Linked DNA regions of Arabidopsis thaliana. The protein of the gene in region 1 interacts with the protein of each later gene in a pairwise test. Each region holds a gene or a part of one and is shown on either strand. Other genes may lie near its edges.

Region 1 (7,654 bases):
AGTAGAGATGTGTGGTTCTTGGAGACAAGCAATGTGAGAGTACAGTTGATATTTAGGATATTATTATGTGAGATTTCTGTGTTGGAAACTGTTGCTGCTTTCATTTTTCTTGAATCGATTGAAGTGGTCCCAAACCATTTCTTATAATTATGAGAACTTGTACATCCTTTTTGCCAAGAAAGGTCTTTGAGATGTGGGTTATATTTCGGTAGTTGAATCCGATGGAGAACTTAAATGAATTCCCCAAGGACAATTGTGTGGGGAAGTGTTTGTGAATTTCGTAAAGTTCTTTTTGTATGTGGAACATATAATGAGAGCAAGATGATCTAACTAACTTTCTTCATGGCAAGAGGAACACTTCAGCTCCCTAGGATTGATATTTCTAGATTCTAGTTTTGACAATTTACTGCAGATCCCTTGAGTTTTGTGAACCTAAGACTGTTAACCTGGTAGCTCTTTGGTTCTGTATTGTATATGGTTAAGTCAGCTCCTAATTTGTTGATTTCTTCAAATTTGTATTACTTGCAGCCGTGAAATGTTCGATAAATGGCAAGCTCAAAAGTGGTGGGCGGAGAATTTCGACAAGGTCATGGAATTATACAATGTACAGCAGTTCAATCAGCAGAGCGTCCCACTTCCAACTCCTCCTAGATCTGAAGATGGGGTATATGCACCCTCTTCACTTCTGAACACATGAATCTACTCATCAAAACCTGTCTTTGATACTTTGAGGTCTAACTAGTTTTAATTTGGTATACCAGAGCTCGCGAATTCAGTCTACCAAGAATGGTCCTGCAACTCCACCTCTGAACAAAGAATGCTCTCGAGGAAAAGGCTACGCTTCTTCTGGCTCACTCGCTCACCAACCAACAACCCAAACACAAAGTCGACACCATGATTCATCTGGTCTTGCTACAACACCAAAACTCTCTAGCATAAGTGGGACAAAAACCGAGACATCATCTGTTGATGAGTCTGCAAGAAGTAGCTTCTCAAGGGAAGAAGAAGAAGCAGATCATTCAGGGGAGGAGCTATCTGTAAGTAATGCAAGTGACATTGAAACAGAATGGGTGGAACAGGACGAAGCAGGTGTTTACATCACAATCAGAGCTTTACCAGATGGGACTCGCGAGCTTAGGCGTGTTCGCTTCAGGTAAAGATACATTACTTTCTCTGTTCCTTAGTAAAACCCTTTCAAAAGCAAGCACTTTAACAACATTGTCTTTGTGGTTGTAGCCGAGAGAAGTTTGGGGAAACGAATGCAAGATTGTGGTGGGAGCAGAACAGAGCTCGGATACAACAACAATACTTGTGATGACCGATGACGGTCGAAGGCTCTCTAGAGAAGAATCTGACACACACCAAAACAAAACACTTTTCTTTTATATGTTTTACTTGGAAAAAAGCTACAGAGTGATGGAAATAACTTGGGATTCAGATAATGAATGTGCTTTTTAGTTGGTGGTTGTTAGTACATCTCTTTCTCTTCTTTCTCATCTACATCTATCTATAAAGAGGAGGTATTAGTTTTACTGGATTTTCTTGGTGTTATTTTCTTAAGGTAATGTACTGTATATAGTTTAATACTAAGAAAATTCATATTATTGGATTTGAAAATTACACTTTGTGCACTTTATTACTTTTTCTCTAATTATATTGACCATGATTGGTGCTAATAATTATGGCATGTACTTAAATGTTCTGAATAAGAAATGTATAAAGTAAAAACCAGTTAAATTGCCAGCTAACTTGTATCTCCTTAGAAATTTCCATTTCTCACTTCTCCTTTGACTAATCTTTCTATTGAGTTATATTAAGGGTAAAATAGTCAATTAGGTTTATCCAATTAGTGAATTTGGAACCAATTTTTTCGACGCGTGAGAATAAATCCTAACTTCTTTTTTTTTTTTGTTCTCTTAAAGCCGTTCCCTCTTCTCTGTACTCGAAACCCTAGTAGTTGCTCTATCCGATTTTAGGGTTTAAGAGTCGAATCATTAGCATCTACCTTGATTACGCTGATCTCACTTGGTTTCGCTACTCGATCCTTGAATTTCTTTGTTTTTTGTGTGTTTCGGTTTATTCGATACGTCTTTGATCCGTAATGGTGACTGGGTCCAGAACTAGCGGTAATCGTGGGGTAGGACTCGATGATGAAGCGAAAAAGATGATTCAATCGATTAAGGAAGTTGTGGATAGTCACTCCGATGCTGATATTTACACTGCCTTAAAAGAAGCTAACATGGATGCTAACGAGGCTGTGGAGAAGCTGATTCATCAAGGTTTCTTCTCTCTTCATCTCTTTTTCTGCTTTCCTAGTTTGACGGAAGTTAGGGTTTTACTGTTTGTTCTCTGGTCCGCATTATCTTGATCACGATGAATGCTACAACATCTTGTTTGAGGCGTATGTAGAATGCTGTAGATAGGTTATGCAAATTTCGTTTGATGGAGTTCTGTTGATAATTCGATAGATGGATAACTCTTGTTTTCATTTCGATAATTTGTCAATTCTCTTCAGAATACTTCAATTACTATATACTTGAAATATTATTGGTCTTCTTTTCTTGGCTCTCGTTTCGTTGGGTGACTAATATGTGTGTTATTGTTGCCATCATAGTTTTGGTTCGCTAAAAAGCTTTTGTTTTGTTCAGATCCATTTCACGAGGTGAAGAGAAAAAGAGACAGGAAAAAAGAGGTGAGGTTACATATAACTGTTATGGTATCTTGTTCCCAGTTCTTCTCCTTTTTAACATTTTTGCCAATGCAACCACATTGTAGTTTTTTTGTTTGACTCTCCTTAGTCTTTTCGAAACTGCATTTGAAGAAGGTGACTAGATTTTTCATAATGTTAGTTGTGCTTGTGTGACTATTATATCTCATCGGATGTCTGCTGTGGCAAGCTATATTTTTTTTTTGTTTTGTTTAGTATTTTGTGTGCCTTCTAATTTAATTGATCGTCAAAAAAAATTTCAACTTTTCTAGCCATTCAAATAGTTTGATGAATTTGTAGAGATCATCAAGACACCTCTTGTATAACCTCTGATTTTTAGGGCGTTCCTTTGGTTTCAGGATACAGTATTTGTTGAGCCTGCCAACATAAAGAAACCTCTTGAAAATGTTACCAGTGAAGTGAAAGTTCGTACACAGCCTGAACATAATGTTCGGAGAGGAGGCTACAGTAGGAATTTCTTCCCCAGGAACGCTGCTCAACGAAATGCATCTCCTAGAAATCCTGCTACTGGTAAATCAATTTGATGATGATATACTTGCCAGTTTCTTTCGCATGCTTGTACAGTTGTACTAAAAATCTTTAATTTGTTTTAAGCTGTCTTTTGAATGGTTCGTAAACATAATCTATATAACGGCAGTATCAAATGAACTTGGTTAAATCCAGAAAAATATATGCAGGCAAGCAAAGGAAACGTAGAAGAAATTGTTTTGCGTTGATTTGTTTTTTTTTTTTAATCTTTGTTATTGGCCATTGGCGTGAGGCCTTCAAGTTTTATGTAATGTATTGACCATATTCACCTAGAAATGTTTTTCTGTCTGTTTGTAATTTGTTCGTTTCATGTTAGTGCAGGATCCAACAAAGAGTTTCGCGTTGTTAGGGACAACAGGTCTAATCCAAATGTTGATGAAGAGTTGAAGCATTCTTCTGCCCAGTCCTCTGGATCAAATATTAACAAAGTGGTTGCCACTGTGAACAAATTGGGGTATGTATCATCAGTTGTAATTTATCCTATTGTTCTTATTCTAGCATTTTTATCACTAACTTGCCTTCTTTTATACATGTGAAATAGAATGATTTGTTACTCTTGTAAAAATATTTTAAGGGAGTTAATTTGCTTTAGCTGTACTTTTCCAAAAAATAGTAAAGTAGGACTCTTTTTTTTTTTTTTTTTTTTTGTCAATGAACTCTTTAAGACAATAAGAAGCATAGATTAGTTTTGTGCCATACTGCCATTGGGTTTTGGTAGACGGAGATAGGAGTGTGTATGTTCACTTGGTAGGCATTCCTTTGCTAGCCCAACAAGGACTTCTTGTCTCATAATTTCAAGAAAACTATGCTGAATTTAAATAAGAAAATAAAATTTTCGCTCTATTTTAACTGTTTGCCAGCTCAAGAGGTGGTTTGGGCAATCGTAACTCTTCTGGGGCTCAAGATTCAACTGACGAGTGTAATGCTCCAGCAGATGCCAGGCTCAGACAGGCTGAAATTCGTCCTTTGCATTGTCCTGTCAATAAAGAACTCGGTGGAGTTACTTTGCCATCAACCAATTCAGTTCTTGGTGTATATTCGTCTTCCAAAGATCCAGTTCATGTACCTTCTCCTGTTTCTAGATCATCACCCGTGGGAGCTATTAAACGTGAAGTAAGGGGTGGAGGTTTAGGTGGAAAACCTTCTGAAAATGTTGGTAAAGATCCATCTGTGCCCTCTTTTTCAGGGTCCTCTATTAGAAAAAATGGACCTCCAAATGCACATCGACCATCTTCCCCAACTTCAAAGATTGATCACAGTCGAACTACTGCACGTGAGTCTGTTATGCCCAGTGGAGTGGAAAAGAATAGGTCATATTTGAACAGACAGCGTGGGAATAGAGGAAGCCAATATGCTAGAACACAACAAGTTGGTGGCCATACAAAGGGTAACTTATATGCAAATATTTATTAACCGAATGGATGTTGTGCAATTTCTTATTTGATTTCTGCTAGGCGACACTTTATTTTCTGTGTAGCTTCTGCTTTGAGTAATATAATCCCTTCTTTCAATCTATTGGGAATTCCTGGTGAGAAGCCATTTCCTGTCATGACTTCTGATATTCTTGATCAACCTGTACTTATTGCAGGAGCCTCACAGAACAAGGAGTGGAAGCCTAAATCTAATCAGAAACCTGTTGGACATAACCCTGGAGTAATTGGAACACCTACAAAGTCTCAAGCTCGTCGTCCTGCTGATAATTCCATAAATGTGGAAACAGAAGCCGTCAAGTTGCAGAATAAGCTTTCACATGTTCATATAAGTGAAAGTCAGAATGTCATCATCGCAGATCATATTCGTGTCCCGGAGACTGACCGCTGTCAGCTAACTTTTGGTAGCTTTGTTCAAGAGTTTAATTCCTCAAGGAATTCAGAATCTGCTTTCGAAGAATCACACTCTTCAGAAGAAGTTAGAGAATCTGATCGTAGGTAAGTTCTGACAGTTGGTGGGTTTTTTTTTGTACATTTGAATATAGTTTGAGATCACATGCATCTTCCCCAATTAACTTGGTGATATTGTTGACAGTTCGCCAGTTACTTGTCCTGAGGCTTCAGCAGATGGTCCGGGCGTTCTGCCTATCACTATTGATGATCATGTCAGAGTTTCTAGATCTGACTCACCCGTCTCGGCAGTATCTGAGCCACAGTTACCCGAACAGAAAGAAACTCATAGATCTGACAATTTGGATGCGTACTCGGGGATTGAATTACTCAATAGGAATGGTCCACCTTATACTCCTTTGGAGTTTGAACAGCAGCAAGATCCTCCGGAGTTGCAAAAATTTTCTGTAAGGGTTCTTGCAATTTTAACTCTTAAAAATCAAGGAAAGATAAATTCATTCAAAAATGACATGCTCTTCCTTTCCAGCAGGCTTATGACAATCATGGTAGTTATGAATTTCCGTACTTTAGTCCTGCAATGGATGAAACTGTACGAGTTCAAGGATTACCATCTCCACACGAGGTAATTTATGTTTCTGTTGTTAGTTGTTACTAGTTTGCCAGCATGAGTTGATGCGTAAGAGTCTAGTTAGCTCCTGTTTGAGCAGTTGGTTTGTGCATGTGTCATAGTTATCTTTTTTGTTTTATTAACTAGGAAAAACTGATCAAGTATCCTTTTGATAATGCAGCAGGGATTAAGTGCTCACATGTTAAATAATGCCCCACCATCCACTATTCCCATGTTACAGCAACAACAGCAGGCATCAATGCAACAGATGTATCCGCAGGTCCATGTTTCGCATTTTCCCAATCTCATGCCTTATCGTCAATTCCTTTCCCCAGTCTATGTTCCCCAAATGCCCATGCCAGGCTACTCAGGTAACCCAGCAGCATATGCACACCCTTCAAATGGCAATAGCTATGTGCTGATGCCTGGAGGCGGTTCTCATCTCGGTTCAAATGGTGTCAAGTATGGAATCCATCAGCAATATAAACCAGTTCCAACTGGTGGACCTGCGGGTTTTGGGACTTACAACAATCCTAATGGGTATCCAACTAATCCTCCCAATGTAGTTGGAAACGCTACGGGACTTGAAGATCCATCTCGCATGATAAATAAACATGGAAATATTTACGTTCCAAATCCTCAGGTAATGATAATTGATAAGTATGGTAGTTGTGCCCGAACTTTATGTTTTTACCAATTATTTTTTATTCTGATTCATGTCTCCTTATCTAACACTACAGGCTGAGACTTCTGAGATATGGATGCAAAATCCAAGAGATCTTTCAAGCCTTCAGTCTCCATATTACAACGTAGCTGGACAATCGCCTCATGGTGCTTATTTATCATCCCATACAGCACACCAATCGTTCAACCCAACTGCGCAATCATCTCACATGCAGTTCCAGGGTCTCTTCCACCCGTCACAGCCTGGTACGATGGCGAATCCGCACCACATGGGACCTGGCCTCAGTGGTAATGTTGGAGTCGGTGTCGTTCCCTCTCCTCCTCCGTCTCAAATTGGTACCTATCAGCAATCACAACTTGGTCATCCGAATTGGCCATCAAACTTCTGAAGAAAATCTAACCTTTGTCTTCTTGTCTAATGGATTATATAATAGCCAAAAGCAAATATTTTGATTCTCCTTATGAAACGCCAAACTCTGTTTTAATTAATCTTTATTTATTCAATGCATAAAATGTTCCCAGCTCTCAACAATTTGTCTATAAATGCTTTGTCTGCTTCCATAGCCCCTCATTATTTACAGCTGCAGGTATGGTGTTATTCTCCCATGGCGTCAAATTGTCAAGGTAAAGTCCTGTCCGTGCTTCTTAATCATTTACTGCTATTATAGTTTCGGTCGACTTCAAGAACCCTACAATGCATGTGAAGGTTTTTAAGTGTGGAACCCTGTGAGTGAAACATTGTTGCTTGGTGCTAGTGTTTCCCATTGTCAATGTTCTACAAGTATTAAAGAGAATTGTGTGTTTTGTTTAGCTGTTCAATGTTCTTCTTTGAGTTATGTGTCTTCTCTCTCCATTTCCTCATATTCCTTATTAAATTCTTGATAGAGAATCATTAGTTGTTGAGCTTGACCTAACTTTCCTCTAGCCTTTAGAATAGATTACAAATATTCTTAATCGGAGAACTAGTTGAAGCTCAGGCCTATAGGTTTTGATTATCTCCTTGATTACTTTAGTTTTTAGGTGTCATAGCACACTGTGTCATCATAACAAAAGAATCTAATTGATCGTTTTGTTGACATATTTAGAAAAGTAAATATACTTAGTTTGGGGAGGTGGGTCTTAATCAAGGAGCCAACTAGAGTTTACTTAGAGCCTAATTGGTACGGACTTTGATTCCTTCTCTGATTTAATAGGCCTCCTAAGTCCTACCTTATTGAGAAATGATTACTCTCTACGAATCTCTTGAGACTCCATGATGTTGAGTCA
Region 2 (5,161 bases), on another chromosome or scaffold:
GATAAATCTAGCGACTCGACAACGTCACTCACGTGGGTTAGACCAAAGGACCCACGAAGCAAGCAAGTTGCTTGTGAAAAAGTGAAGGGAGAATAAAAACACTTCCATGTAAAAGTAATTGAATACTACTACTACACAAAGGCAATCATCAATAAACCATAGTATATAAACTAAAAGACTTAACAATGATAATATAAAGTAATTAACAAGGTAAAGTTTGATTATTGGCGACTAATCGTTTGATGGAGAAGAGTTTAGATTAGCATAATGAGCAATATAACTTAGTGAAAAAGTCTGATTATTATTGATTCAGTGACAGTTAGGTTTGAGAATGAAATCTATAAATCGAAAAGAAGATTTTTAGAATCCTTGGTGGGTCACTTTGTTGAGTCAAGTGGGGACGTCAAGATCTTTACACCATAAAAACCAAAAATGCTACGTGTTCGTCACCTGTTGGTTTGTGTAATAATGCAAACTTAGAGAATACTACAATACGTCGTCGTTTGAAGACCAACACCATTCACATCAAGCCCATAAGTTTAAGGGTTCGTTGCCCATTTGTTTTTTTCACTAGAAAATATTTTATTCGGTTTGGTCCTAAAAGATGTCTCAATCAATTGACAACGAACTTCCGATTAATTTTGGTTATGTGTAAACCGGACCAAATGAAGATGATTCAGAATGGAAGGTAAAAGTAATCATCAAATTTTTGTTATCCCAAACAAAATCTCAAAGAAGGGATTATCACCTAAGAGATAAACCTACTCCAAAAGAACTTCTAATCTCTCTCTCTCCCTCTCACTATCTCTTCCTATAAAACCTCAATTTCAAATGAACAACAATAACACAACAGAGTTTAACAAATGACTTCAAACTTGTTTAGCCTCTGGATTGAGTATTTTAACGGCTAGCTTCTACCGTACCGTTCTGATGAACTTTGCCATCACCATTGTGAGCCTCACCATTGCGTGATTCACCCCGTCTCTCAGATCCATTTCTTCCATAGCCTCGACCTCCATTGGAACCGTTGCCTCGAGGCCTATACCCATCGTTTCTGTAACCGTTGTCGTTCCTATAACCTCCGTTTCGCATTGCGGGTCTTCCATTATCGTTGTTGCCTGCAACGGAACCAATGGTTTCAGTTTTTCTACCCTGAAGTTGGAGACATTAGTACTAAACTTTACTTTGACTTACCTCGTTTCTCTTCTATTGAAACTCTTCGGTTTCCGATTCTGATGGCTGATTCTTTGTGAGCCTAGAGTTGTGTAGTAGAACATCAAAAGAAGAATCCAGTTTATAACCAAAAAGTTTGTAAGAAATATCGTTGATGTTGAAACATACCTGGAGGACCAATTTCACAGCTTCAGCAGATGCGAATGTCACAAAGCCAAAACAGTTTCCCTTGAGCTGCAAAAGAAAAACTTAATGAGGATTTCAAAAAAATTGGCTGTGAAACAAGTTTCTTCAAAAGATCCATTCAATAAACAACTCACCCTGTAACTTCTCACTTGGATACCATCTTTCGTAATAGCTCCAAAACCTTTGAATGTTTCATTTAGTTGCTCTGGTGTAGCGTCCATGAGCAAGTTGGCAACAAATATCGTATAACCCTCAGCTGATACACGAAAAATGGTAAAATCATATTAAGACATAGAAAAAGGTGAAAGAAAATCAGTTTTTCTGAAATGTTAAAACATTGATTTAAAACCTTGTTGGTCGATTGTTGCAGCAGAAGAGTGTTCAGAAACAGGAGCAGGAGCTTTGGATTCACGAGCAGCACTCGGCTTTGTAACAGGCTTAGACTTAGGCTTTGCAGGAGAAGCTTTGGCATTGAATGTAGCACCGTTTTGAGCCAAATCTTGGACCTAAGGGTAAGTTGCAAAATATTTAGATTATATGAGCAAAGATTAGGCTATAGAATAGGATTTCACACAAAAAAGAGGACTCACAATATGTGCAAATGATTTCTTGGGAGCATCAACACCATTGCTTTTATCGTTCACAACATTATCCTCCTGTGTTTTGGGATGTCCATTTGCTACAGCTCTTTCTGGTTTCTTCACTGTATTTTCGGTTGTCTGTTTCGCCTCGGGTTGTTGGGTAGGGATAGTAACCGGCTCTGCAACTTCATCTACCTGCTCTGTTGGTTGGACCACTTGAGGAATAACCTCCTCGACTTCTTTCTTGTTAGCTTCTGGTTCAACAATCTCATCAGCAACATACCTAAAGACATCGTTGAGAACGAAATAGCTTCCATTCAGCGGCACAAGGAAAAACGATTGAGAAAATCTCATTCTTTGCCCCTCTTTCACGGTTAGTAAACCTGTGACTAGAGTCACAACTCCATTCATGTAAGATGCTTGGGAATCAGCAGTCAAAATCTGAATCTTTGAGATTTCGTAATCGAAGGACATAATCTGCTCATTGATAGCCTGCAAAACAAGATTAAACAACTCTTAAAAACGAAACTTTGCTTCCAATAACAAGATTTACATATGTTTGAACACAAAAAGCAACTCCATCCAATAGCTTACTTTCAAGGATTTGACAGAAACCATCTCTCCATCAGAACCAGGACGGCCTAAAACACTATCGTCGAGATAAAACTGATGCACTTGCGATGGTGACTTATACAAGAGGTTGTAGTATTTCTCAACAAAAGAATTGCCAATAGTGTTTGGGTCCACCACTGGAGCATTTGATTCAAGTGCCATCTCTACCTAGATTCAAGAGATTATCACTAAGGTCAGATATATAATCAAACAAATGTCTCGAAATTAAAACATACTCATATGGATGAACCACAAGTAGTGATTTTAGTCTCACATTGCCATTCAAATCAACACTAAGGAATCCACAAATCTCATTAGATCTCTTATAGCTTTAACAAGAGATTTATTTGGTGACTTAAGCGACTTGCAAGTTGAGAATCTATAAATTGAATATACGTTAGAACTACATAGATCTCTATACAGCTACTAGATATTGGAAGAATGTGAAAAGATTAAGCTTTTACAGAGGATTCCAACAGAAAGGAAAAGACTTTTAAGACAGAACATGAAACCCAAATTGAAGAACTACAAATATCAATCAAACAATTGATAACAGTAAGAAAATTGGTGTATGAACTATGAACGAAAGCGATACCTTGGGAGAAGATGAGAAGAGAAGCAGAATCAAAAATCTCAGATCAGTTCGAAGAGAAGACAGAGTAAGACACAGGGAGAGGGAGGGATGAATATATTTGTATTATAATATATATAATGGTTAGTTCTAGGGTTTTACTTAGAAATCTCCGACGAGGAGAAATTGGGATTGTTGTAGCCTTGTATTGTAGGGCTTTCTTCAAGATTTTTACACTAAAATTATACTACTATTATTATTTATGGTAAGGAGGGAAGTTTTCCTTGAATTGTTTGTTTTTGATGATTATGTATATTGTTGAGTTATGGAAAGTTGTGGCTAAGAAGAATTGTATTCTAATTTCATAAAAAAGAAAGAGATATAAAAAAGAGTGAGTAAAAGAAGCCCCCGGCGAGGATCGAACTCGCGGCCTTTCGCTTACGAAGCGAACGCAATACCACTATGCTACGGAGGCCTTTTTGGAATGCTTGTTCAGTATAACATTATATAATAAAACAACAAATTATGACTTTTTATTTAAGGCTCATTGCAATAAAATATATACTTCATAAGACTCAAACTTGTGTATATTATTTAATCGTGAATTTGAGATCAAAATTTGTTATAGAATGATTTGTTTTGAAATAAAACAGATTAAGCCCCACAAAAAACATATTTTCTTCCTACGAAGCTTGATGTGCTGATTTAAGAGTTCCCCTATTATCGGCCCAATAAAGAACTAGTGGATATGCATGGTTCGAGGAACCCATGAATCGTTTTTTTTTTTTTTTAAATGTCTGCTTGCCCTCTGAGCCACCAAATACACAACTAAGCATAGATAACAAATTTGCTTACAAAAATCTTTAATTAAGAAGTTAGAGTGTATTATTTTATAAAAATGGAGCCAAAGCAATTAAGGTGAGATAAGTTTGAACAGTACATACTTCTACCATATATCAAGAAATGTTTCACGAAACTTTTCTGAGTATAATTTTATCTCTAAGATAAAGCTATATGATTATAAATCAAAATGTTAAGTTGAAAAATGTTTGAACAACGTATACGAAGTTGTATTATTTTGGTTTATTTTAATGTTATAGTCTAGATTTTTATTTCCTTAAATTTGTGTCTCCTTTTTATTTCTTGAAAATGTATGCTCATGCATGTTTTTGATTACTTGGAAAATGTAATTATATGTAAAGTCTTTTTTAACCTCACAGTTAATGGAAAGCATCAACCTTTGGATATAAAATATAAAAAAAGAAATTCTATGAAACAAAAAAAATATCATCAATCGACACATGCATGTGCATATATTTATAGATATTTTTTTTTTCGGTGCATATATTTATAGATCCATATCAATCTTGAGGGAAAAAAAAGATCCATATCCAAATCCAAATGGAATATCAGTGTGCAATTTTCGTTAGGAAAATATTTGATTTAATAAAAAAAGAAATTCCCAATCCATATCCTTAGCCATATACCAAACAAGGGGAAGAGTTGATGACAAGAGAATGAGATCACTCTAGTTATGTTTGAACCGAACTAGAAGTCTTTTTGCTAGTTGAGAGTGTAACTACATGAAGTCTAGTTGTTGAGACATTGACATGATTGGTCTCTCAATTTCCACTTCCTTTCTTATTTGTTCAAACATATCTATTCTTATGCTTTACTGTAAAAAATCTATTATAGACCTACAAACAAAACAGTTGTCTATAGTGAAAATACTCCTGATGTTATGTCTTTTTCAATAAAAAAAAATATATATATAACATGCTCTTTTAACTAAGTCTGTCAGAGTTCAGAGTTCCCAAAAGTCATAAATGTAGTTCTTTACATAAGTATTTAATTATTGGTCAAAGTCTATCAACTACTTCTATTAGTTTCAAAAACTTTATCAACTTTTTTTATTAGTTAAAATACACATAAATTAAATGTTTATTATTATTAATGCAATATTTCCTATTATAAATATCTAAAATGATAAAGATAAATCTAAGAAAACTAAAATATGATAATATATAATTTGAAATTA

The links.
Region 2: the proteins of AT3G13990 (region 1) and AT1G13730 interact in a two-hybrid assay, tested with the Arabidopsis thaliana proteins (one large-scale study listed by BioGRID).

The regions. Positions count from the first base shown.
Region 1 is NC_003074.8:4,624,831-4,632,484, reverse strand, and holds AT3G13990 (dentin sialophosphoprotein, putative (DUF1296)), read left to right. Parts: upstream 1-1,871; 5' UTR 1,872-2,101; coding exon 2,102-2,279; intron 2,280-2,648; coding exon 2,649-2,692; intron 2,693-3,066; coding exon 3,067-3,238; intron 3,239-3,577; coding exon 3,578-3,710; intron 3,711-4,116; coding exon 4,117-4,643; intron 4,644-4,844; coding exon 4,845-5,184; intron 5,185-5,281; coding exon 5,282-5,543; intron 5,544-5,623; coding exon 5,624-5,719; intron 5,720-5,885; coding exon 5,886-6,347; intron 6,348-6,444; coding exon 6,445-6,777; 3' UTR 6,778-7,102; downstream 7,103-7,654. Other genes in the region: ATBRXL2 (DZC (Disease resistance/zinc finger/chromosome condensation-like region) domain containing protein), read left to right, coding at 529-664, 762-1,153, 1,237-1,315.
Region 2 is NC_003070.9:4,708,072-4,713,232, reverse strand, and holds AT1G13730 (Nuclear transport factor 2 (NTF2) family protein with RNA binding (RRM-RBD-RNP motifs) domain-containing protein), read right to left. Parts: upstream 3,477-5,161; 5' UTR 3,148-3,476; intron 3,017-3,147; exon of another isoform or gene 2,827-3,016; intron 2,721-2,826; 5' UTR 2,715-2,720; coding exon 2,535-2,714; intron 2,433-2,534; coding exon 1,950-2,432; intron 1,866-1,949; coding exon 1,709-1,865; intron 1,616-1,708; coding exon 1,494-1,615; intron 1,408-1,493; coding exon 1,342-1,407; intron 1,256-1,341; coding exon 1,195-1,255; intron 1,119-1,194; coding exon 901-1,118; 3' UTR 561-900; downstream 1-560.